Neurospora crassa OR74A: one gene and its partner. The protein of the gene in region 2 purifies or fractionates together with the protein of the main gene of each other region. This does not show direct contact. Links are inferred from orthologs where the notes say so. Each region holds a gene or a part of one and is shown on either strand. Other genes may lie near its edges.

Region 1 (11,614 bases), about 2.9 Mb from region 2:
TCTATTTCGCCCGTGTCCTTATAAATGCCATTGTCATTGCGTCCCGCTTGCTGTGCTTCGTTCGTTTTTTTTTTCTCTCAGTTTGCACAAGAGAGAAGAGAAGCGTGCAAAAAATGCAACATGGTGCTTACATGGATGGTGGTGTCGTTGTTACAAATGACTGATGGTGTGTACCTTAATGGCAGGATGTGTTGCGTTGCGTTTCCTTAGGTGGGGGTAAGTTATTTCTTTCGTCGTAGCCCGAGAACGGTGGTGGGAAGGATTGGATGAAGACCAAGACGGTCAGAACTTCCATCGATGAGATAAAAGTTCCCAAGCGTAAAACTAACAGTTCCCATATCATTCCATCCGGTGAGGGACCTTGCGTGGTTCGTAAGTTTTAGCCTATATCCAATCCCCCATCCCGACCGACCATTGCCATTTCGAAAATGACAACTCCAGACGAATGATCACCCATCCCGCCTCAGCCGTAAACCACTCACTATCTACCAGGTACCTACCTCTAGCCATCCAATCACCCCGCGCACCACCCGCCTTTCCTCACCGGTCAACGCCAATGAGTAAATAGAGGTAAGAATCAAAAGTGAGAGAAGAGGAGGAGAAGGAAAGAAGGAACGAAGCATAAGATCATCTGAGCGCACACTATCTCTACCTTGTGTACTAGGTAACACCTGGAAGGGTTAGGTGGGGTATTTTGGCGTACACCTTCCTATCTACTAGATACATACTGCACGCACCCGCATCCCAAACATTCGTGGGGGAAGAAGTACTTCACAAGGAACAAGCTGAGCCCGTGGATGGCATCTCCCACTTTCCTTGCAAACAGCTGTTTCGTTGCAACTTCCTTGTCAGTCTTCTCGGCTGTGCCGTTGAGGTGCAGTCTTTGCATGCTGTAATGCGAAGATGGGAAGGAACGAAGCTCCTAGTTGTCACTTCATCTTGAGTGGTATTTCGTCTTTGTGCCTTCCACCTACCTGTCTCTGCTAAAGGGTCGATTTGGCCGAGGTTCTGATTTCAGCGATAATTTGGCTTGGTTTAGGTTGTGATGGCTTCAAGCAATATCTACTATCAGCAATATTATCACCATCATCAACCTGGATCATAAGTGACACCTGCAGCGAAAACCGGATTGAAGACTACCTCTACATGCCAAAACCGTCCTATTTGAAAATCATGAGGGCTGGCAGCAGACCAAGCAACATGCATCCTCGTCCGTGTGGACAACAATCACTACTAACCTTTCCAGTCATTACCTCTTCTCTTATGTTCCTGGACAATCAAGTCAAAAGACCAAGACCCCCTGGATTTGCGCCTCCCGCTTTGCCCTCCCGTCCATACGGACGGCACGGCACCACACAGCTAAAGTTTAGAATACTGTAGCGCAGTCAATCCTCACCCCGCTTTTACCCTTCAAGCGAAACGTTCACCAGTCAGCTAAATAACTGACGACCATTCACTGAGCCAGGAAACACAGGAGCTGGACGGCTGAGCATCTCGCTACCGGATTCTATATGGTATGGTCGATCCCAGCCGCATCCATACTAGTTTTGCAGATGCTGTCTACTTCCAACCGCTCGAAAATTGACACTTCACAGCCTCAAGGTCACAGACTCGAAGCGGCGAGACAAGGACAGTGAGGTTTTGTTGAACTGGATTATAAGAGGTTGCACGCCGCCGCACGGTAGGAGAAGCATGGTGGCGGTCATAATTCGCCCGGCAATCGCCCTACTAGTGGTACGGTTCCCGACTCCCGTTGAGTATCCGCGCCTCACTCTGCCGCTAATGGCTTCGCCGTTGACTGCAAGCCAGGGATTGGTTAAGCTGGTCGATCCCAGCTTGGTTGGATATATGTAGAGGCGCAGCAGCAGTAGCAGCAGCCGTCTGTCTATTCGGTCAACAAGAGAGTTGACAATGTCTGATAGCATGAACGTGAGGTGAGGCTGGAACGACATGTCATTAACTGTTCAGCTCAACAGGTCGCAGAAGGCATGATTTCCACCCATATCTGTCCATCTACCTCATTGTGGAAAAATATCGTGGAGTTTTTTGTGTTTCTGGCTCAGCCTTGACCACTCGTCGTTTTCGGATCGTGAATGGCTTCCAACTCGTTAGGATCTCATGGCCACATTGTCTTTCTTTGGCCACTTCCGTTTCCACCCAGTCCCCTCCCCTTTGCCCAAACATTTCGGTCAATGATGTGGGGGCGATTTTTGTTGATACGCGGAAATGGGCACGTTTAGATGTTTCGAAACCCACTAGGTAACTAGTAAACTCACCACGTCAAAACAACACTGCACACAGCCTCAATCTTCCACAGCCCGGCGACCCGCTTTTGAGACCTACTATGCTCTCGGAAAAGGGAGCCGAAAAGTGAACCCTGATGGGATTTCTAGTAGGAAAGAATACATCGTTTTGACAAAGTATCATGTGAGTGACTGCCGAGGAAGAGCCTCATCAGGAGGCCTCTGGGGTGATCATATCCACATGCGCCTCTAAGCGCGCGCTTGAAGAGGCTGTGTATGAGAATACAGTTGGAGTGGACCAGACATATCTGTCTTTTTGGGGGCCGTATCTGTGAGGGCGCCTAGGCTGGAACGGAGTCGAATTGGCTTTTTGATGTGTTATGGGATTTTTTTTCTTGTTTTTCTTTTGTTTTCATTACTTCACCTCCTTCTTCGAGCTTTGACACATGATCGTGGTGATAGTTAGAGGCAGCCAACTGAAACAGCAAGCCGAAATCATCGGTCCTGAACAGCGGGATCACCGATAGTCATCCATGGCTTCAAAGATGCGATCGATGTCAAGATCGCAATGACACATGTCGCCTTGACATCCATTCTTCCAGCCTTCGATCAACTGAGAGGTGCGTGAGGCTCATTTTGCGGCCGCCGGAAACCTGGAGCTGGGGAGACACGGGGACCCTCATAGACGACGGGACGGGAATCTTGATCTTACTCGGAACCAACCGATCGACCCAACTACCAACTGGAGCGGAATCTAGGTCATCAGCTTATGATTCTCTTTGCCTCTTCCCCTCAGAAGAAAAGGCGCGTGCTATTGAGAATGTAGCAAAGGAAAGAGAGAAGAATGAAAAGAGTCGTAGAGTGCCCGACTTCCCCGATGAACACAACACCATCGTCTACGGCGCCTATAGCGTCTAGAAACCACCACAAAGAGATGTGGATTGTCTTTGAAAGTTTACAAAGTTCAGACTGGGCAAAATACATACTGATCAAGCATCCGCCCGGGACCTGAGTACCTGGGAAATACTTTCTCGCCGATTTCGCTGGTTAGGGGTTTTCGGGGTCCAGTGATATTGTTATACGATAACGTGCGGCGGTTGTTAGTTGTTTAGGTCGCTTATATATTGTTCGTAAGTCGTAACTAACTATGTAGTTAGTCGTTGGGCCAGCGCTGGAGGTACAGTATGGGTGGCACGAGGGGGGGAAGTGATTGAAGAACGGCATTGTTTGAATTATAGCCGCGGGACGGACACGCCGACCGAAGGGCAACTCCATACTGCTGTGTTTCCTTGTCTTCAGTCATTTTCTTGTTATTTGTTGTTTGCTTTTTCTTTTCTTTTTCTTCAGATGAGGCTCCGCCATCAATAGCGATAACCGGAATTACATAGTTTCGTTGAAGTGTTGAAAGTTCCAGGTAGGGATGAGTACCATGATGAAATTGGTGGGTTGGGTAAACATCACATGTAAACAACATCAGGAGTAGATAATGTACGTACTGAGGGTTGGCAAATGATGAAATGATCTTAAAACTCCTACTAGTAGATGATATGATAGACATGGTATCTCCAACCCATGATCCAAATATTGCACTTGCACTGAACGCTGATGATGATGTATACATGACAGCAACAACAACGGCACTAACAACAACACGGCCAACCACAAACTTACTCCGACTGCTACCCCCGAACCTTCTAAGAAGTAGCCATTTACCTCTTGTTCTTCTTGAGCCTCGCCGCCTTCTCCCTTGCGTACTCGTTCGCCGCCTGGCCTTCCGATCCCTGGATCTCCGCCACCAAGCGCTTGTACTTCTTCTCGTACGCCTCGTCCTTGGCCTTCTTGACCTTGAGGTTCTCGCGCTGCATGAAGGCCGCGTCCTTGCGGAGCTCCCTGAGTGCGCCCTTGCGCTCCTTCTTGTGTTCGGCCCGCAGCTTGGCCAGCTCGGCGCGCTCGCGGTCTGGGTCGTAGTGCTTGTTGGGGTCAAACGAATCCTCAAACTTGGGCACGTACGTCTTAATGGCGAGCGGCTTGTGGTGGTGCAGCTCGAGTGGCCTGCGGGAAACCTGGGCGAGCTGGAGGAGGCGGGAGATGCTTGTCGTTGCGTCCTTAAGCTGCTTGACGAGGGCTGCAGGGAGCTGGGCGGCGTTGGACTTGGTTGTCAGGTGTTGGAGCACGCGCTGGGCGGGCTGGAAGGTCTCGTAGAATGCGGGGAGTTTGCACCATGTTTCGGAAGCAGTCCTGAGAACGGAGGTGATGGTGCTGATAATGGCAACCTTCAGAGCGGAGTCGTCGCTGGTGGAGCGAGCGCTCTTGGGCTGCTGGCAGTCACCGCAGTTGAGCTTCCTGACGGTCACCTTGCTTGCACCCTTGACACGGATGCCAGCAGCGGGCTCGTGAACGGGGAACAGACCAAGCTTTTCCTTGGGCTTCTCAGCAGCGAGCGAGCAGAGAGTGTTGAGGCAGAAGTTGACAAATTCTGGTACGTAACGCTTGGAGAAGGATTGGTACTGAAGGGCGAGGATCGAAAGGTAAGCACCAATGGAGTAGTCGGCGAGTGTCTGGGGAATTTTCTGTCCCAAATAACGGGTGATGGAAAGCATCGCAGGGGTGACCACCTGATGGAAGTGATCAGAAGTAGGGTAGGTTGTGCCAATCGCTGTCAGAAGCATAAGGTCGCCGACGCTAAGGGCAAGGGGCCGATCCTCCTTAATCTCCTCAAGCCGTGACCTGTAAGCCTTGGATATCTCGATCGGGAAGGTCTTCGCGAGTGAGTGGACGTGGCGGATCAAGTTCTCAATGGTAGGGAACCAGGTGGGCTCGAAGTTGTCGCCAAGGTAAGCGATATGCTCGATGAGGGCCCGGGAGAAGTTTCCAAGGCGCTCCTTGTTCTTCGCGTCCAGCTTGGGGTGGTAAAGAGCTCTGATCCTCTGGACAGCCACTGGAAGTTTGGCCACGGGAAGGCTGCCCAAGATCTCCAGCAGCTGCTCGTGACTCTCGGGACATGTAAAGGTATAGGGTATGCCGTCCTCGTCGCCGCCTTTTGACTGAGCTTGAAGTTTTGTGGCCACCTCCTTCGACTCGCCGTCCTCACCACCATTCACAAGCTCGTCCTCATCAGGATCATAGGCATCCTCGTCATCACTCCCGTCCATGTCCGACATGTCGTCCTCGTCCATATCCAACTCAGAGCCGCTTGCGATAAGGTCGTCTTCGAGCAAGAAATCGTCTTCGTCGTCCAGACCCATCTCGGTGGCGGTCATTCGTAGCTTGATACCCTTGCCGAGGCCGAATTCGTCCTCGTCGGCCTCGTCTTGTACCTCTTGGTCGTCTCCCTTCTTCCTGCCCTTCTTCTGCTCCTCCTCCTCCTCCTCCTCGTCATCCGAGACGATCTCACCCCGCATGCGCCTGAGTCGCTTTTCCTCCATCTCTTTGAGACGCTTAACTCCTTCCTCCGCCTTCTCCTCGTCGGTCTTTGTCCTGTCGGTAACCTCGGCCCTGGCTTCACGCGCTGCCTGCTTGAGACGCATGTTGTATTCCTTCTCAAGTTGGTCCATGTCGATTCCTGCCATAACGGAGGGGCCCTTGGGGTCCTTCGTTTCCTTCGGTCTCATCTGGAAGAGTAGGGACTGCAATTCTGGGAGTTCCTTGTCAAGTTCCACTCTTAGATCGTCGTCCTCCTCCTTGGCTGCTTGTCGTTCCTGTAGCAATTACTGTTAGCTGATGAGTGGAAGTAGCCGGCTTAGCGGTGCCCCTTACGTATTTGAAGGCCTTTGACTTGGCGATAACCTCCTCCATAACTTCCTTCTTCGTCTTCTTCCTCTCCGGTTGTCCATCCTCTCCTTCACCTTCCGCGGCCTCTTCCTCAGCGCGCAGGCGCTTGAGGAACTTCTTTCTGGCTGACCGCTCATCGTCGGATTCCATATCGGAAACGTCCTCGTCAAAATCGTCACGACCCGCCTCAATGTCGTCGTCGTCAAAGAGAGTCTTGCCAGCGTGTGTAAGGGTGACCTGTTCTTGCTCGTCATCGGAACCCTCCAAATCGAAGACGGTGTTCTTCTTGTGGCTCTTCATCTGCTCGCGCGCGAAACGTTCCATCATCTTGTCCTCCAGGGTCATGTTGGGGTCGTCCTCGCCAAAACGCCTATCGACAATGCCGCCGACCTTGTTGCGCCTCTGCATTTCAACCAGTAGAGTTTCCCGTCGCTGTTTATGGCACAGTTAGCATCAGAACCAGTAAATCGATCTGAGTGGGATCGACAAACCCTCTGCTCAGCGGTGGCCTTCGCAACGCCGGGGCGGCCCTGAATGCCCTTGGCGAGTTTATCATTTTGGGGCTTGTTGGTGGTGACCTCGAACTTGGGTCCTCTGGCGTTGGTCTTGAACTGGAAGGGGTTGAACTGCTCTCTGATGCTGGCGAGAGCTTCGTGGCGCTGGAGTCGCTTGTCGGTGGAAGCCTTCGCGTCCTGGGCGTTTTGGCGCTTTTGCTTCTTGGATCTCTGGGGACCGATGATGCCTTGGTCCTTGAGGGAGGCCTTCAGCCTCTTGAGCTGAGACCCGGCCATGTTTGTTGAGATGTCTCGACTGTCGACTTGACAGGGGAGTATTGAGAAAGAAAGAGGGAGGGAGGGCGTCGCGAAGCGGGTTCGATCGCAAGACCAGCAATCAATAGGTTGTCTTTGGCGGTTGGTTCCTTCTCAGAAATTTTGGTGATGAAGGGTGCTTATCTTATCGTCATGCTCCACCTCTAAAATCTTGGCAGTTACCTACCTACATACAAGTAGTATTGTCCACAGGCGCGGGCAGCAGAAGCATCCTGGCCTGCCCGTGCTGCACTGTAGCTGCTAAAAGACGAAGCTCTACGGGCGATGCTATCCAGGTCCCAAAAACTTACCCTTTTAAGGAAGTGCACAGACTTCTTTTGTTCTCAAGACATGTCACTCGACCAAATGTGCTCTGCAACCCAGGATGCAGCATTTCACCCAAAAAGCCCCCTTTTGGGCCAGCTGAGTTGCGAAAAGGAGTTTCCCAGCAGTATTTGACTTGCAAAGATAAAAGAATTCCCAATTTTCTTGGTGGAGGATCCAAAAAGTTGAATGTATTGTTAAGTACAAAGGTCTTGGGATACATGCTTGACTAAATGCTTAGGGTGGGAAATTTGGGACCTGGATAGACTGTCCCGCTCTACAGCGGGTGTCACTCCACTGACCAGAAGTGAAGCTCTCCATCGTCATCCTCGGGCTGCTCATGGTTTTTTTATTTTTTTATTTTTGGTTTTTTTCAGTGTTCCGTCTCAATCTCAAAGTCGCGATGTGATGAAAAGAAAAAGAAAACAACACATAAAAGTCAAACTACCTATGCTGAAGCATCATCTTTCATCACCATACCGTTATTATGGGCTGGCAATCGTCGGTTCTCCGAGATGAGAGGGTCGTCTTCACCGGCATTGGCTTCGTCACGGCGAGCTTGATCATCTTCGCCATGAACACCTGGCTAACAAGATGGCGAGACGAGACCATTGTCACCCCCAATCCGCCAAAGACGCAGTACATCACGCAGCAGACCGAGGACTCGCTCGAGCTCAAGACGCTGGACACCTTGCTGGGCCACTACAACTACGCCATCAAGGAGACGGCTGCCAAGATAATCTGTGATAGGGCTGCAAATGACCCCGGCCTCCTGGAGACGTTGCTCTGGGGCATCACCCGTCCAGATTATGACGAGCGTGTCAAGAACTTGAGGGCTCTGGCTGTCATCTGCGTCCCTCGTGAGTATCTCAACACTGCTTGAAAGTTTCCAACTCACTAACACGGCTTCAAGGAGTTCTCCCCATGCTTCACACTTGGAAAGCATACTCCGCCATAGTCCGGTGCCTCGAGCTCTCCCTCGACCCGGAGCAGGAGGTTCTCGAGAATGATGGATGGGACGATTATCCATTGAGGGATATCACCGAAAAAATGTGCTTCATCTTTCTTGAGCAGCTGGTCGATCATTACGGGCCAGAGATGCTGATCCGCTCCAAGTTCGTTGAGCGTTGGCTATCCAGGCAAAATTGGGGCAGGACTGAGGAAGACAGACAGCGCAACTTCCACAACTATATGCTGTACAGGGACAACAAGATCAAGAGGCTTGCGGATGCGGTGCGCAAAACTGGATCGGGAAGGTCGGTGCTGGTCAGATGTGGTCTCATGTCCCAAGAGGGGGCTGACGACTTCGCGGCTGAGCAGGCCGATAACCTGAACCTCATGGACACAAGCGGCGAGCGCTATAACCTCCTGCTCTCTATTAACATGGGTAGGACCCCGCGGGCGCAGGAGACGAGCGCCGAGGAGCAGCGGATTAGACATCGGAATCGCGAGGCTATTGTGGTGAACGATGGGACTAGGCCGATTGGCAGGGACGATATTATTCACCGTGACACGGAATGGCGGGTTTTGGGAGAGCCTGGTCAGTCTTAGAGGAGCGGCTCAGTAACTACTACAGGAATTGTTACCATCGCTTTGTGCTTTGTTCTGTGTTAGGAATACGGGGACGCATAAGGAAGATCAAAATGAGAATAAGAAAGATTGAGTTTGGTTGAGTAGCAATTGTATTAATCATCCAGAATGACCTTTGTTTTGGCGGATATGAAGGTGTTTGCTCTCTTACAAAACGAATAATACACGGTTAGATGCATCGTTGGGTTCAATCGTTAACAGTTCGCGAGCAACTCCACCAAAATCACTAACAAGAAAGGAACAATACGTCAAGACAACAAACCACTGCAATATGCTCACATGAATTTTGCGATTCAATTGAACCAAACCGCAACCTGAACTGTGGGCTTTGCGCCTTTTCCAACGATCACACGTCTAGCATAATACACCATCACCCGCCAAACGACGCACAGAGTCACTGTAACCGAACGGCGGCGCGGCCTTCTGTCATTTCCACAGTCCCTTCTCCCGGCCCCGCTCGTGTCCGGATTTCAAGAGCCTCACCACTCTTTCCATCCACCCACTCACCAGCATGGCTCCCTCACAGACAGTCGACATCCCCTCCTTCGCCTCCACCCAACTCACCCTCCTCTCCTCCGAGCTCGCCGCCGAAATCGCTGAGAACTCCGAGCTCATCGGGCTGCACACGCCCACCGCCCTGCAGCGCGCCGGCCTGGCCCTGACCAACCTAGTCGTCAATGCCCAGCGGACCGGCTATGGCGGAAAGACCGTGTTGGAACTCGGGCCCGATTCTGCTACTGTTACTATCACTTCTTCTTCTTCTTCTTCATCGTCAGGCCAGAAGGGTGGGGGCTATGATGGACCGGAATTACCAGAACATGGAATTCGGACGGGCGATATCGTGGTAGTGTCTGAGCAGCCGGCTGGGAGCGCAAAGAAGCGAGAGGTCAGGGAATTGGAGAAGAAGGGCGCGAAGGGGGTGGTGACGAGGGTGGGCAGGGGTGTGGTGGGTGTGGCGCTGGATGAGGATAAGGGGGAGGAGAATGTAGTTGGGACGGGGGGTTTGGGGGGCAGTGGGAGGGTTTGGATGGTTAAGTTGGCTGATGATGTTACTTATAGGAGGTGAGCTTTCGATGATTTGATGCGAGAGTGAGAGTTGGGGAGAGGAGGTCGATTCGGGTTGGTGGATGATGAGAGGAAAGCCAAAAAAGAGAACAGAGGCTGGGGGAACAGGAATTTGATGGTGATTACAGTCAAACCTCAGCTAACACGGTGATTGCAGGATGAACGGAACCATGGAGAAGCTTCAGAAGATGAGCGAGTCGGAACACTCCATGTTCATCCGAGTCCTCTTCGGACAGTCATCACCCTCACCTGTCCCGGCGGATCTAACTAATGACCCAGAGGTTGGCAACATTGATTGGGTTGATCCTACTTTGAACGACTCACAAAAGGATGCTATTAGGTTTGCACTAGCATCGAGGGAGATAGCTCTCATCCATGGTCCTCCCGGGGTATGTTTATACGTTCCCTCCCCGCAGTCAGTCGCTTATATGTCTAATCCACCATTACAGACTGGCAAAACACACACTCTGATCGAACTAATCCTCCAACTCCTCCGCCGAGACCTCCGTATCCTCGTCTGCGGTCCCTCCAACATCTCCGTCGACAACATCGTCGAGCGACTCTCGCCACACAAACTGCCCATCCTCCGCCTCGGCCATCCAGCCCGCCTTCTCCCCTCCGTCCTCTCGCACTCGCTCGACATTCTCACCACGACCTCGGACGCCGGGGCCATCGTCAAAGACGTGCGCGCCGAGATGGACGCCAAGCAGGCCTCGATCCGCAAGACGCGCAATGGTCGCGAGCGCCGAGCCATCTACGCAGAGCTGAAGGAGCTGCGCAAGGAGTACCGTGAGCGGGAGCGGCGATGCGTGAGCGACCTGGTAGGCAGGAGCAAAGTTGTGCTGGCGACACTGCATGGCGCGGGGGGATACCAGCTTAAGAACGAGGAGTTTGACGTGGTGATCATCGACGAGGCAAGCCAAGCACTGGAGGCACAGTGTTGGGTGCCCCTGCTGTGGGCGAAGAAGGCGGTGTTGGCTGGTGATCACTTGCAGCTGCCGCCGACAATCAAATCGTTGAACTCGAGGGCTGCCACTACAAAGGAGAAGAAGGAGGGCCAGACGCTGGAGACGACACTGTTTGACAGACTACTGACCCTGCATGGCCCCTCAATCAAGAGGATGCTTACCACGCAGTACCGTATGCACGAGAAGATTATGCGGTTCCCGTCGGACGAGCTTTACGAGTCTAAGCTGGTGGCGGCCGAGCATGTCAGGGAGCGCTTGCTCAAGGACTTGCCGTACGAGGGGGTGGAGGCCAATGACGACACCACCGAGCCACTGATTTTCATTGATACACAGGGCGGTGACTTCCCGGAGAAGAACGAGGAGGAGCTGGACGGTAACGGATCAACAGACAAAAAGAAGGTCATTAGAAGTCTTCATGGCGAGAGTAAAAGCAATGAGATGGAGGCGGCGCTTGTAAGACAGCATGTGCGTGGCCTGATCAAGGCGGGAGTCAGACCGGATGACATTGCGGTTGTGACGCCGTATAATGCTCAGGTAAGTTTTTTTTTTTTCTCCCCCTCTTTGATCGTATTCATTCTTGGTGCTCCTGCCTGTTCCCTTTCCCTACTTGGTTCCTTTTTTTTTTTGGGAGGAAGAAAAGAAATGCCTACCCTGGCAGCCCGTATGCTTTGCATGAAACAACGTGTTGTGTGCACCCATGCCACGACATGGAAAAACACATTACACGGCCTTGACAACTGACCAACTCTTCTTTTGTGCTTGCGTGATCACAGCTCTCCATCCTGGCACCCCTAAAGGACGAGTTTCCCGGTATTGAGCTCGGCAGTGTGGACGGATTCCAAGG
Region 2 (10,874 bases):
GACGGGCGTTGACCTCAATGACACGGTAGTCCAAGCCATCGGGCTGAAGAGCGTACTGGACGTTGCATTCACCAACGACGCCCAAGTGACGGACGATCTTGATGGCAGCGGAACGGAGCATGTGATACTCCTCGTCGCTGAGGGTCTGGGAAGGAGCAACAACGATAGAGTCACCAGTGTGGATACCGAGAGGGTCGAAGTTCTCCATATTGCACACAGTAATGCAGTTGTTGTTGGCATCACGAACGACCTCGTACTCAACTTCCTTCCAGCCCTTGAGAGACTTCTCGACCAAGATCTGGGGGGAGAGGGTGAGGGAGCGAGCAGCCATGTTGCGGAGCTCCTCCTCGTTGTTGGCGAAACCGGAACCGAGACCACCAAGGGCGTAGGCAGCGCGGACGATGATAGGGTAGCCAATCTTGTTGGCAGCGTCGAGGGCCTCGTCGACGGTGTTCACAGCGAAGGACTTGGCAATGGGGATGTTGATCTCCTCAAGGGCCTTGGCGAAGAGATCTCTGTCCTCAGAAAGCTCCAGTGTCCTGACACTGGTACCGAGAACCTTGACACCGTACTTCTCGAAGAGGCCAAGCTTCTGCATCTGGACACCCAAGTTGAGAGCGGTCTGACCACCGAAGGACAGGAAGATACCATCGGGCTTCTCCCTCTGGATGACATACTCGACATACTCGGGGGTGACGGGGAGGTAGTAGACCTCATCGGCGAGGGAATGGTTGGTCTGGATGGTAGCGATGTTGGGGTTGATCAACACGGAAGCAACGCCGGCCTCCTTAAGGGCCTTGAGCGCCTGAGAACCTGGATGGGTAGAGTAGAGTCAGCACTGCTGTTTGTTTGTTTATTTGTTTGTTTGTTTTGTGTCTGGTTTCACTGAGTCGACAAGACATTAGACGTACCGGAGTAGTCAAACTCGCCGGCCTGGCCAATGGCAAGACCACCGGAGCCGATGACAAGCACCTTCTTGACGTCGACATGGTCGCGGGGCTTGACAACGCCGCTCTGGATATAAGCCTTCGCGTCGGGGGCGGGCTGGCTGGCAGCAGCCGCGGCAGCGGAGGCAGAGAGCCACCTCTTCTGGGAGGACAGCCTCTGGGCGGCGTTGGCCTGTGTCTGGAAGATGGAGGTATTCTGGGCGCCGGAGGTGAGAGCCCTCAATTGGGACGCCTGGACGGGAACCCGCCGACCATGGCGGAGGAGAGCAGGAGCTCGGCCAGCCTTGTGCACGGTCGACAGCATTATGTCCAATGGAGGGAGGTGTTTGTGGAAGAAAATTAAAGAAAGACCAAGAAAGGCCTCGTGAGGGTCTCGGGGGGCCGATGTCTTGTATATCAACAAACAAGTCCTGACAACGACGTAGCTGTTGACCCCGGATCCTGACCAGTTGACTCAATCTCGAGTCTCCCGTCCGTGTTTTCGGAATTTCGCGCTTTTAATTTCAGTGGAGAAGAAACTGGAGAAGTTGGACGGAAAGAGGGACAAGAGAGACAAATAATTCCCAAAACCGGCCGCTGTGGGGAGCGCCGATAAGAGATGTGCGGGGCCGGCGGCAGGGTGGGTTCCAGATTTGTTGGTGGGCGGCTGTGACTCTTTTGCTCTTTCACCAAACAGAACAATCGACGATGAGGCCCTGAATGGAGTCGCTCTTCTGCGCATCCGCCACCCTTTGCCGGGGGCAATGGCGGGCACTGGCGGGTTGGGAACAAGTGACGACGGATTGTTGGAAAATTTTCAAGATAGGCCGCGGGCCAGCTTGGGTAGCTTCCGACAACGGAAGCGGACCCGGAATCCTCTGCGGTCGAGAAGTGCGGGACCTGACTGGCATATGTACATGGATCTGCGATGCTCGCATGGGCAGTCATCGCATCTTGCCAGATCCCCCTCCCATTCTTATCCGATTTTAAGCTCACCTACTGGCGATCCTAGATCAGTGTCTTGTGGCAGACTTGAGACTTTCTCGTTACCTAGCCACTTTGCCTGCCAAAATAACAACATGTCGGGCGCGGTCTATCTAACAACATCACTACTATTCCCCAGGCTCTATGTGTCATCTGAAGTCGGTTGAGCGTTTGTCCGATGTTCGCTCATGCACGCCATGGCCCCAAAACAGGCACAAGCTCCCGGGACGGCACTGGAGACGGCTAGTACCGAGTCAATGGTTAGTAGGTACCCACGACCTCCAACCTCCGAGTTTGGTTTGTCTTTTGGACGCCCAAACCCCGCCAAATTTTTGACTACTATGTACCTTGGCGGTGAAACTGGCTGAATTGGCCGTAACTGACATGTTATTGGCCAATTGCCCTTCGAGCTGCGACTTTTTGGCGGGGAGAGGAAATTCACGCGTTTCATGATTGGCTGAGTCATCGCGGCCCCAGTCTATTCGGCGATAGTTGACGCCTCGATGCCGGTCTTGTTGGTGATCTTCAAAATCAATCTCTCGCTTTTGACGTGTCCATGCGGCTGAGTCAATTCGAAGCGCCTCGCCGATGCTGACCTCTTGACATTTTCTCCTCGGCCAGCTCCCGAAAGAGCTCAAATCCGCCTGCTCCCGAAAGAGCTCAGATCCTTCGCTGTATTCCCAATGCCAGTAAAGCCGCCTGCGACTTTGACTCATGGACCGGGTTTCGACGGCTGTAGCACTGGAACCTTACTACACTAATATCAGCTCTGCTAGCTCACAAGTCAAATTACTCACCCCATCCTATGATCTCACAGTACTTCGGGGGCCTATGGTGTACTACTAGTATTCCAGAATCCGCAAGCTTATTCCTTCTTCACTCACGCCGTGAATGAACATGGGGGATGGGCGCACATGGAGTTTGGAAGTGTGGTTCCTGGCAGACCCTTGAGCTTCCACTTGTGTAAGTCGAGACCTCTCATTGGAAGAACACTATGTACTGTCCATCCTGAGCTGTGACTCAGATACAAAACTGGACATCGACTGCGAATGTCCATCTCCAAACCAAATTTCACATTCCCCTTTCTGGAGACACCCATGATGTCAAGTCTGTCACCCCAAGCGCCCAGGCCGGGGCTCTGATGGAGCGGGGGTAACCCCCACTCAGGTTCACGGTTGCACCATGGGAGTCCAGGCCCGTCCTCCTCCGCCCGCGGCTTCCGGGCTCAAGTGCGTGGATTCCGGCGAACGAAAGCCACGGCACCGGCCCAAGCCCGGCCGACAGCGGGGACCGGAACTCAGCCAGCTGGTCGGTCTTGGCATGCCAATGAGCACAGGCCGCTGCGTGCATCCCCTCCAACCCTCCCCTTCGCTGTTGTGGTCCCTTCATTTGTTGTGACGCTGAGTCGCTGACAGCTGAGGCAGGGGCACCTCAGTGGCAGGCTACAGCACCACGCACATCCTTGGCGACCTTGATGACAGCTGCCCATCGAAGTGAAATGCATCGCGCATTCTCCATCTCGTTGCCGCCTTCGTGATCATCACATTTGCTTTCTACTACTCGATGAACATTCTGTTTGCCGGCCCCCCTTGACGTCAATCAATCATAGACCCAGATATGTGAGGCTCAAACAGCCGCTGAAAGCTTTTATTACCCACAGCTCTTGAATGCGCCAACGATCACCCTTCCTCTCAAACCACGGCGAGCTATGAACGATGATTCCGAGCCGAGCTTCGCGGCCCGGCAGCAGGAGCAGGAGCAGCAGCAGCAGCAGCAGCAGCAGCAGCAGCAGCACATCCCGCCACACAATGCAAACGAGGATGGCAGCCGGCGCAATGACAACCACGAGCGGTCCACGGAGCTGAACGGCAGCGCTCATGATGATAATGATGATGATGATGACCAGACGTCACGGGAGGAGAAGCGCAAATTGGGCCTGAAGAAGAAGCTACAGTTCATGAGCCACCTGCAGAGAAATCTCGACATGATCTACTTTGCCTATCTCTGCACATTATACTATATGGAGTACGATAGCAGCCACTTCCTTTAGATCCTTTGCATAACATAGCCAATGACTAACGAATGACCTCAATGTCTCTTCGCATCACAGATGTTCCTTTCTCCGTCTATTCGTACGCATCATTCCACACTTCATGTTCATTACCCCGAAAGAGGGTCCCGTCCTTCTACCGGCCGAACGTCCCCATGTCTTTGCCATCCTCGGACCGAATTTGATATGCATCCTTGCACACATCATCTCTGCACCACCAGTCGCCGGCGAAGCGACGCGCGGGTATCTACACGGGGGCGTGATAGTCGACTTCGTTGGGCAGAAGCCACCAACGACGAGGCTAGGTCCTTTGTTCTTCGATGCGGTGATACTGGCTATCCAGTGCTTGATGTTGGCTATCCATACGGAGCGGGAGAAGCTGCGCAAGGTTGTGAATCCCTCCTTACAACCTCTCTGGGCTGGTCCCGGTCAGGTTGGACAGCAGACGGGGGCATCAGGTAGCGACGGCGTGCGCCAGCCGGAGACTTCCCAGACTTTGGATGCGGAAGAACGGGGCGTGAATAGGGAAGATGAGATGGCTCTAGGCGATGGAGAAGGGACCGAAACAGACCGCCTGGTGGCAGAAAGCCGTGGCGGTCAGGGGCAGGATGATGAACAGCGGCTGGGGTCCAACTATTCTCCAGCATCTGCCGGCATAGACTTGTTTGACGTGATGAGGTCAGGCAATGCCAGTGTGGGTAGCTTTCATCCGGTACACGCCATACGTACGGTAGGGAATGACTACCAGACGGCTGCGGCTTACACGGTCCAAAGCATTGGTTTCCATGCGGCCGCCGTTGCTGGCAACCGGGGAGTTAGAGGAATTGCTGGGATTACGAATAGAGCGGCCAGACGGGGGATATGATGGAAAAGCATTTGTACACACTAATACTTAGTGCCGAGACCCACGAAAGCGAATTTGATACAGCAAAAGTATGACCTAACAGAGCTTGAACATGCAACAAAAAAGAAAGCATCCGGTTTATAATTCTTTACGCTACCTTCCTTCCCACATTACCAACGCCCGTACCCTTGACCGAGACTACTAGATCAGTCGTCTCACCGTCATCGTCGACATCCCTTATGCCCCAGCTGGCCGCTCCGAATTTCTTCAAGTCTCGTGCTAGCCCTATTGTCTCCTCCCTAGCCAATACTTCCCTGCCTAACCTGAGGCGACCCACATCCTCCGATCCCATTGCCATCAGTGTAAGCAAGGTCGGTGCCGATACGTTACTGACGCAACCTCCCTGTGCGATAACCTCCAGCAGCTGGTACGCGCACCTTGCGCCTATATCCTCGGGCACGACACCACCCTCGGGCGGCGCTACCACATCAGCCGAGTAAAGCACGCCGTCCGCGCTCGACTCCGCCACCAAGCTGAGGCCAAAACCGATACCGATCTTCTTCTTGGCACCACTCTTGTCGCCGACCAGCGGCGCCGGGTCGTACTGCGCGGCCACGTGCACGTCCGAGACCAGCTGGTTGAGCACGCCGCGCGCCGCCGTGATCATGCGGTTGTTGTGGCTGGCCGACACGCCCGTGCAATACGCCACGCCGCGAATCCGCCGTATCCTGCCGGGGCGCCGATTCAGATGCAGTGTCTTGGGCAGGCGAACCTGACTGGCGAAGCGAAGCTCGACCACGCCGCCACCGCCACGGCCGCCGGGGCCGGAACAAGAGCGCGAGAGCACGCGCAGCTCGATGCGCGCTGGCGGGATGCCGAACATTCCATACAACGGGAGCACGGCCGTGCGAAAGGAGTCAACCGAAATGTCGCCGGTCAGGTGGGTGGCCGAGGTGATGACGCCGGGGCCAGTGAAGCGGACGTTCATGTGGGCTTTGGAGAAGGGCGCGAGTAGGGCAAGCGGGAGGAGGAAGTAGGTGATGCCGCGCGTGTTGTTGGCGGGCAGGGTGTGCTCGACTACGTCGCCAACGGCGCCGGCGTTGACGCCCGCGACCGTGCCGGTGATCAAACCGGGCTGGTATGTAATGGTGGTGCCCGAATACGAGACATCGATGACGGAGCCGTTGGTGATGGCCTCGATAAGGCGCAGGAAGGAGACTTCGTGGGGCGCAAGACCTGGATGTGTGGCCGAGCTGCTGCGGATCTTGGAAATGTGCACTGGGCGGCCGGTAAGGGTCGAGAGAACGATCCGGTGCGTGAAGGCGCGGTGCCCCGTAAAGCGAATGAAGTCGGTTTTCTCGCCCGACATGGTGGCGGTTGTCAGGTCGTTGGTTTCACGCTGTCCTGGGCTCAGTCGTGTGAAAGTGTAATTTCCTAGTCTTTTGAATTCTTCGTAGGCGATCGCGCCCCAACTCGTCGGGCAGTGGTCGTCGGTGATGGATGAATGGGTATGTCGCGGTTTTAATGGCGAATGATTCTGAATTGGAAAGCTCCTTTGCGAGCGCTGCAGGTCTCCCCGTTCCAATTCGCTTTTCTCCAGAATTTTTGGAGGATCCCGCTGTTTCTGCCGGGCGGTGAAATGGTACCTAAGACTTATTCGACAGGAGCTGCGCGTCGATAAGGAACTGCAGGGGCGTGATAAGAAAAAGTCACAGCGGCAGCAAGCGCATGGTGGGGCGATGATGGCCGCTGTTCCTTCCAGGACGTGCTGCTGTAGGACAAAGTGTTGCCGGCTTCTCGCCATCACGAAAAGTTGACGAACACACCTTCAAGTTCCAGTTCACCACAATCCTTCTACCTCCGCAGTTCTACCTGGCTTCCACATCTCCAACTCTTTCATTGCTCCTCATGATTTTCTTCATTCTTTACAGCACACTGCCATAGCCCACCCGACACACGAAACAACCACCGATGCCTCCCCGAGCATTTGCGCTTGAATTGAGTCGAACAAGCAGCTATGTTTGCCAGTCATGCATCGCTAGCATAGGACGAGCCCGCCCAAATCCACAGCCATGGCTGACGAGAAACGCTTCGAGTGCGGCCCGCGCCGCTCGCAGACAACGTGCGCCAACGACGACTAAGCAGCTGGAGGAAGAGCAAGCACAGAGGTTCCAAGAAGCCCTCCTACGGGAGGCGCAGAAGGGAGAACCCACCGACACCGACGAAGGTCCAACCGAACCCCTTGCGGTCAACTACTTCAACGAAGAGACCGAAGGGCAATACCGACAGCTGCGCGACGGTGCCGAGTTTGGCGCCGTTAGTGGCGGCATCGATAGCGAGATTTCCGAGGCCATTAACGACTTGGAGCAGAAAATGGTCCAGACAATACAAATGCTCGATAGCCTGGAGAAGGTCGGGGGTTCCGAACAGGACAAGGCTGAGGAGCTACGAAAACAGTTCAAAAAGATTCTCAGGGAGAAATACAAGGGCAAGACGGGTCCAGAAGGCGAGTCATACGGCGTACTGCGCATTCCAGGCTTCAGCGGAGTGCGGCAGCGAGCCGTAGCCAACTTGAACTCCTTCCTTGCGCGCGACAGCGTCGTCAAGGGCGGCGTCCCCAAGCCGAAAGACCTGTTCGACTGCTGGAAGTACTACTCTGCAGCACGCAGTTCATTAGCCACCCAATGGACCAACGTGCCGCGCGAGGTGTGGGATTTTCTGTGGATGATTTTGTCACACGAAGGGGAAGGCGTAGAAAATCCGAACCGGATGCATCACATCTACGTTTTGGCGAAGGACATGCAAGCTGCGGGGGTGGTGCTGAGAGACTCGCAACAGCTTCTTGCGATTGAGGCCATGTTTCTCGAAGGCTGGCAAGAGGAGGCTATCGAAGCGTGGAAGAAAGCCGTGGTCACCATCGGCTCCAAACCAGAAACATTCAAAGGGTACTATGAGCTGGGAGTACGCATGTGCAGTCTCCACGGAGATACCGACCGCGCGATGAGAGCTGCGGATACTCTTCTCAAGTCCTCAGAATCGCCTAACCCGCGCATCATGATACCCATCGTCCGGGCTTTGGCAGCAAAGGAGGAAAACGTCGAGGAAGCGTGGGAAGTGTACAGGGATATGCGAGCGCTTCTCGGAGACACCATGCAGATCGAGGACTACGATGAAGTTATCGCTTGCTTTTTGGCGGTAAATCACATCGAACATGCGCTGCAGGCCTTTGTCGACATGATGTTCTCGGGTCCCATGGATATTCGCGGCAAGACCAGACTACCGACCATCGTCGGCAACCACTTCTTCCTCGGCAAATGGCTGAAGAGGCTAATAGGAGCAGGAGACCTCGACGGAGCCTACAAAGTGGTTACGTTCCTACAAAAAAAGGGAGTTGCCGCCTCGCCCATCCAGCTCAACGGCCTGGTAGGCGCTTGGCTCAGGACAGAAACTGCTGATAACGTAGAGAAGGCTGACCAGTTGGCTTGGGCCATGATCAAAGCCCGTCTGGACTTCGTCGACCTGCGTCGGAGAGCCGCCGCGATGGACCGGCCAATTCGGCTCGTACCCCGTGACGGAGAACCAACATCGGATGATTACATTTGCACCACAAGAGCTACAGTCGAAACATTTTCTCTTCTTGCCGAGAATTACAGCGCTCGTGGCCTGCACGATGAGCTCGAGGAACTGTGGACAGCGTTCGAGCTGGCAGAACTTGGCCCCAACAGCTTCATGATAAACCAGATCATCAAGTCGTATACCGAGAGCAAGGGGCCGCAAGAGGCCATCGATTTCTACGAGCAAATGACCAAGAAACGGCACGTGCGTCCTGATGCACACACCTTCATCGCTCTTTACAATACTCTTTCAGTGAACCGCGTGGTGAGGCGAGACAACAAATTGACGGCAGATGACGCCGTCATTGGCCGGCAGTTCTTTCAGGACCTGGTCAAGATGGATTGGAAATTCGACTCGGTTGACGAGTATACGTACCTCCCCCGTACCGTTCTCTTCTCCATGCTCAAGGCCAAGGATCATGCCGGCATGATTGTCGCTGCCCGAACCATGAAGGAGCTGTTCAGCTACTCGCCGCCCGAGCAGCTGCTCATCGAGCTGGCGGCGGGAACCGCTACTCTTCGGGTACAGAGCAAGCGCAACATGGACCGCATCATGGAAGCCAGCAGACTGATAGAAAGCTTGATCCGAAAACACACGCAAGTTTTCGCCGACCTTGGAGGCGACCCTGCCAAGATGACGACGCAGGAGAAGGACAACCAGCTTTGTGCCGTCTTTGAAGAGCTGGTCTTGGTCAAGGCGCATGCTCAAAACGCGGAGAGGAGTGCGGTGAATAATATCCTTGCCCAAGCCGCTGAAGAGATGGGCGTATTTGATATTGTGTTTACGAGGGATCCGGCGGTGATTCGGAGGTACAGGAAGGTGATGAAAAATAAGGATGTTGAAGATGATGTCGACTGAAGATGGTCACTTGTACAATACAATGTAACACAAGCAAAATGTAAAACCCCCGAAAGCACTCATCGCTTCATTGGATACCCTCAGTATCATTGAACATATGGCGGCCACCGGCTATCTGATGTGCTCAGCACGAGGATGGCATAGAACTGATGTCACCCAGTTGCGAGTTTGTCCCTTGTTCTAATCATTGTCAATCTTGGATATATCACAAATACTGAACACTCGGTTGTGATAGTCAATGATTCGTGACCTGTAAGTAGTTATCACCTGTTGAGTATGGAAATGGTCACTGAATGGAAGTAGAGATCTGAAGTGATTGACGAGTTGTCACCTTCATGTGTCTATATCTTGATATCACCTCTGTGCCCTTTTCTCACTTTTCTATCTTCCAGCTTGACCCTAATCATCTATGGCTGAACAAGATAAGTTGTATATTGGATTGAGCATTCGCTTCGAGGATTGAATACTCTCAGCCGAATCAACCACACTCTTTGTGTGTCTTGAGGTGAAAAAAGTCTTTCCACTCTCTAGCTATTCTTTTCTGAAAGGACTTGATCAACTCACTCTTCATGTCGCGTTTCCCCCCTTCACCTTCCTATATAACGGCTCTATAGAACACATGTAACCACACAACCCATATATTGCACTGACTCGTAAAGCCTAGGCAAATTCAATTCTGATACAGGCAATATCGACTCTCAGAGTGTATGCTCCAGACTGTCAGCCACTAGAGTCTTTCTGATTGCCACACCTATCTCTCGAGACCACCATACTCCCCCTCAAAGAAGTCAATACAACATCAAGGGCCACAATGTAGTACATATGTGGCTCTAATTTGCATAGAGCCCTCATGGATGGATCTCGCTATCTACCTAGTCACCACTCACTCATGCTCTCAATGCTCCGTGTTCATCTTGTCCTGTTTTGCCTGTACCGCCTTGTCCACACAGCAAATTACCCAGTCTATCACGGGACCACATCTCTGCAGGGTATACACTACCCTACACTACACTACACTCCCTCTCGGATATCCGTCCACCGCCCAGTTCACCGTTGAGTTCTCTCGGGGAGAAGCTAGGCCGTCTCAAAAAGTCAGGCGGCCAGGCCACAACAATCACGTGGCCAAGCTTTCCGAACGTTCCATTTCATCTTCCTCGGGGTCCATCCATCCATCCATCCATCCATCCAGGTCTCACCGTGGGATTTTTTTTCTTCTTTTCTTTTTTTTTCTTTTTCTTTTCGCCCGAGTCGACACCGTAGGTCAAGCGAGAAATTTTGGCCCTGGTCGCGTGGAACATCTAGCCCCAGGGTATGCTACCCAGACACTAAATACTACCATAGGAAACCAGGGCGCGCGCGCGCGCGCCCACCGCCCATCGCCCACTTGTTGACCCAGGTCCCCGGGAACTCCGAAAACTCCGCTTTGAACCCTCAAAAGATGCGTAGTGTTGTAGTATGTATCTAACTTGTTGTGGTGACTGGTGGTGCTCGGGACTTCCTCTCCAAGGTTAGGCAAGGCCGCGGTTCCGCGGTTCCATCTGTATGTACTGTACCGATTCTTTGGGTAGGAGTCCAGGCAAGTCTCTTCTTTGGTGAA

Evidence for each region.
Region 1: the proteins of NCU02675 (region 2) and NCU07393 purify together in Saccharomyces cerevisiae (affinity purification with mass spectrometry, with the first as the bait; 3 studies listed by BioGRID). This does not show direct contact. The link is inferred for Neurospora crassa OR74A from reciprocal best matches to the Saccharomyces cerevisiae genes RCL1 and NOP14.

What each region holds. Positions count from the first base shown.
Region 1 is NC_026501.1:6,082,990-6,094,603, reverse strand, and holds NCU07393 (rRNA maturation protein), read right to left. Parts: upstream 6,909-11,614; 5' UTR 6,806-6,908; coding exon 6,506-6,805; intron 6,447-6,505; coding exon 6,000-6,446; intron 5,942-5,999; coding exon 3,953-5,941; 3' UTR 2,206-3,952; downstream 1-2,205. Other genes in the region: NCU07394 (hypothetical protein), read left to right, coding at 7,635-8,007, 8,061-8,698; NCU07395 (DNA-binding protein SMUBP-2), read left to right, coding at 9,249-9,799, 9,960-11,304, 11,544-11,614. UniProt on the Saccharomyces cerevisiae protein: Involved in nucleolar processing of pre-18S ribosomal RNA. Has a role in the nuclear export of 40S pre-ribosomal subunit to the cytoplasm.
Region 2 is NC_026501.1:3,161,215-3,172,088, reverse strand, and holds NCU02675 (RNA-3'-phosphate cyclase), read right to left. Parts: upstream 6,374-10,874; 5' UTR 6,174-6,373; coding exon 4,953-6,173; 3' UTR 4,858-4,952; downstream 1-4,857. Other genes in the region: arg-3 (carbamoyl-phosphate synthase large subunit), read right to left, coding at 1-813, 912-1,251; NCU02676 (hypothetical protein), read left to right, coding at 3,619-3,935, 4,021-4,825; NCU02674 (hypothetical protein), read left to right, coding at 6,776-9,277. UniProt on the Saccharomyces cerevisiae protein: Does not have cyclase activity. Plays a role in 40S-ribosomal-subunit biogenesis in the early pre-rRNA processing steps at sites A0, A1 and A2 that are required for proper maturation of the 18S RNA. RCL1 activates BMS1 by promoting GDP/GTP exchange.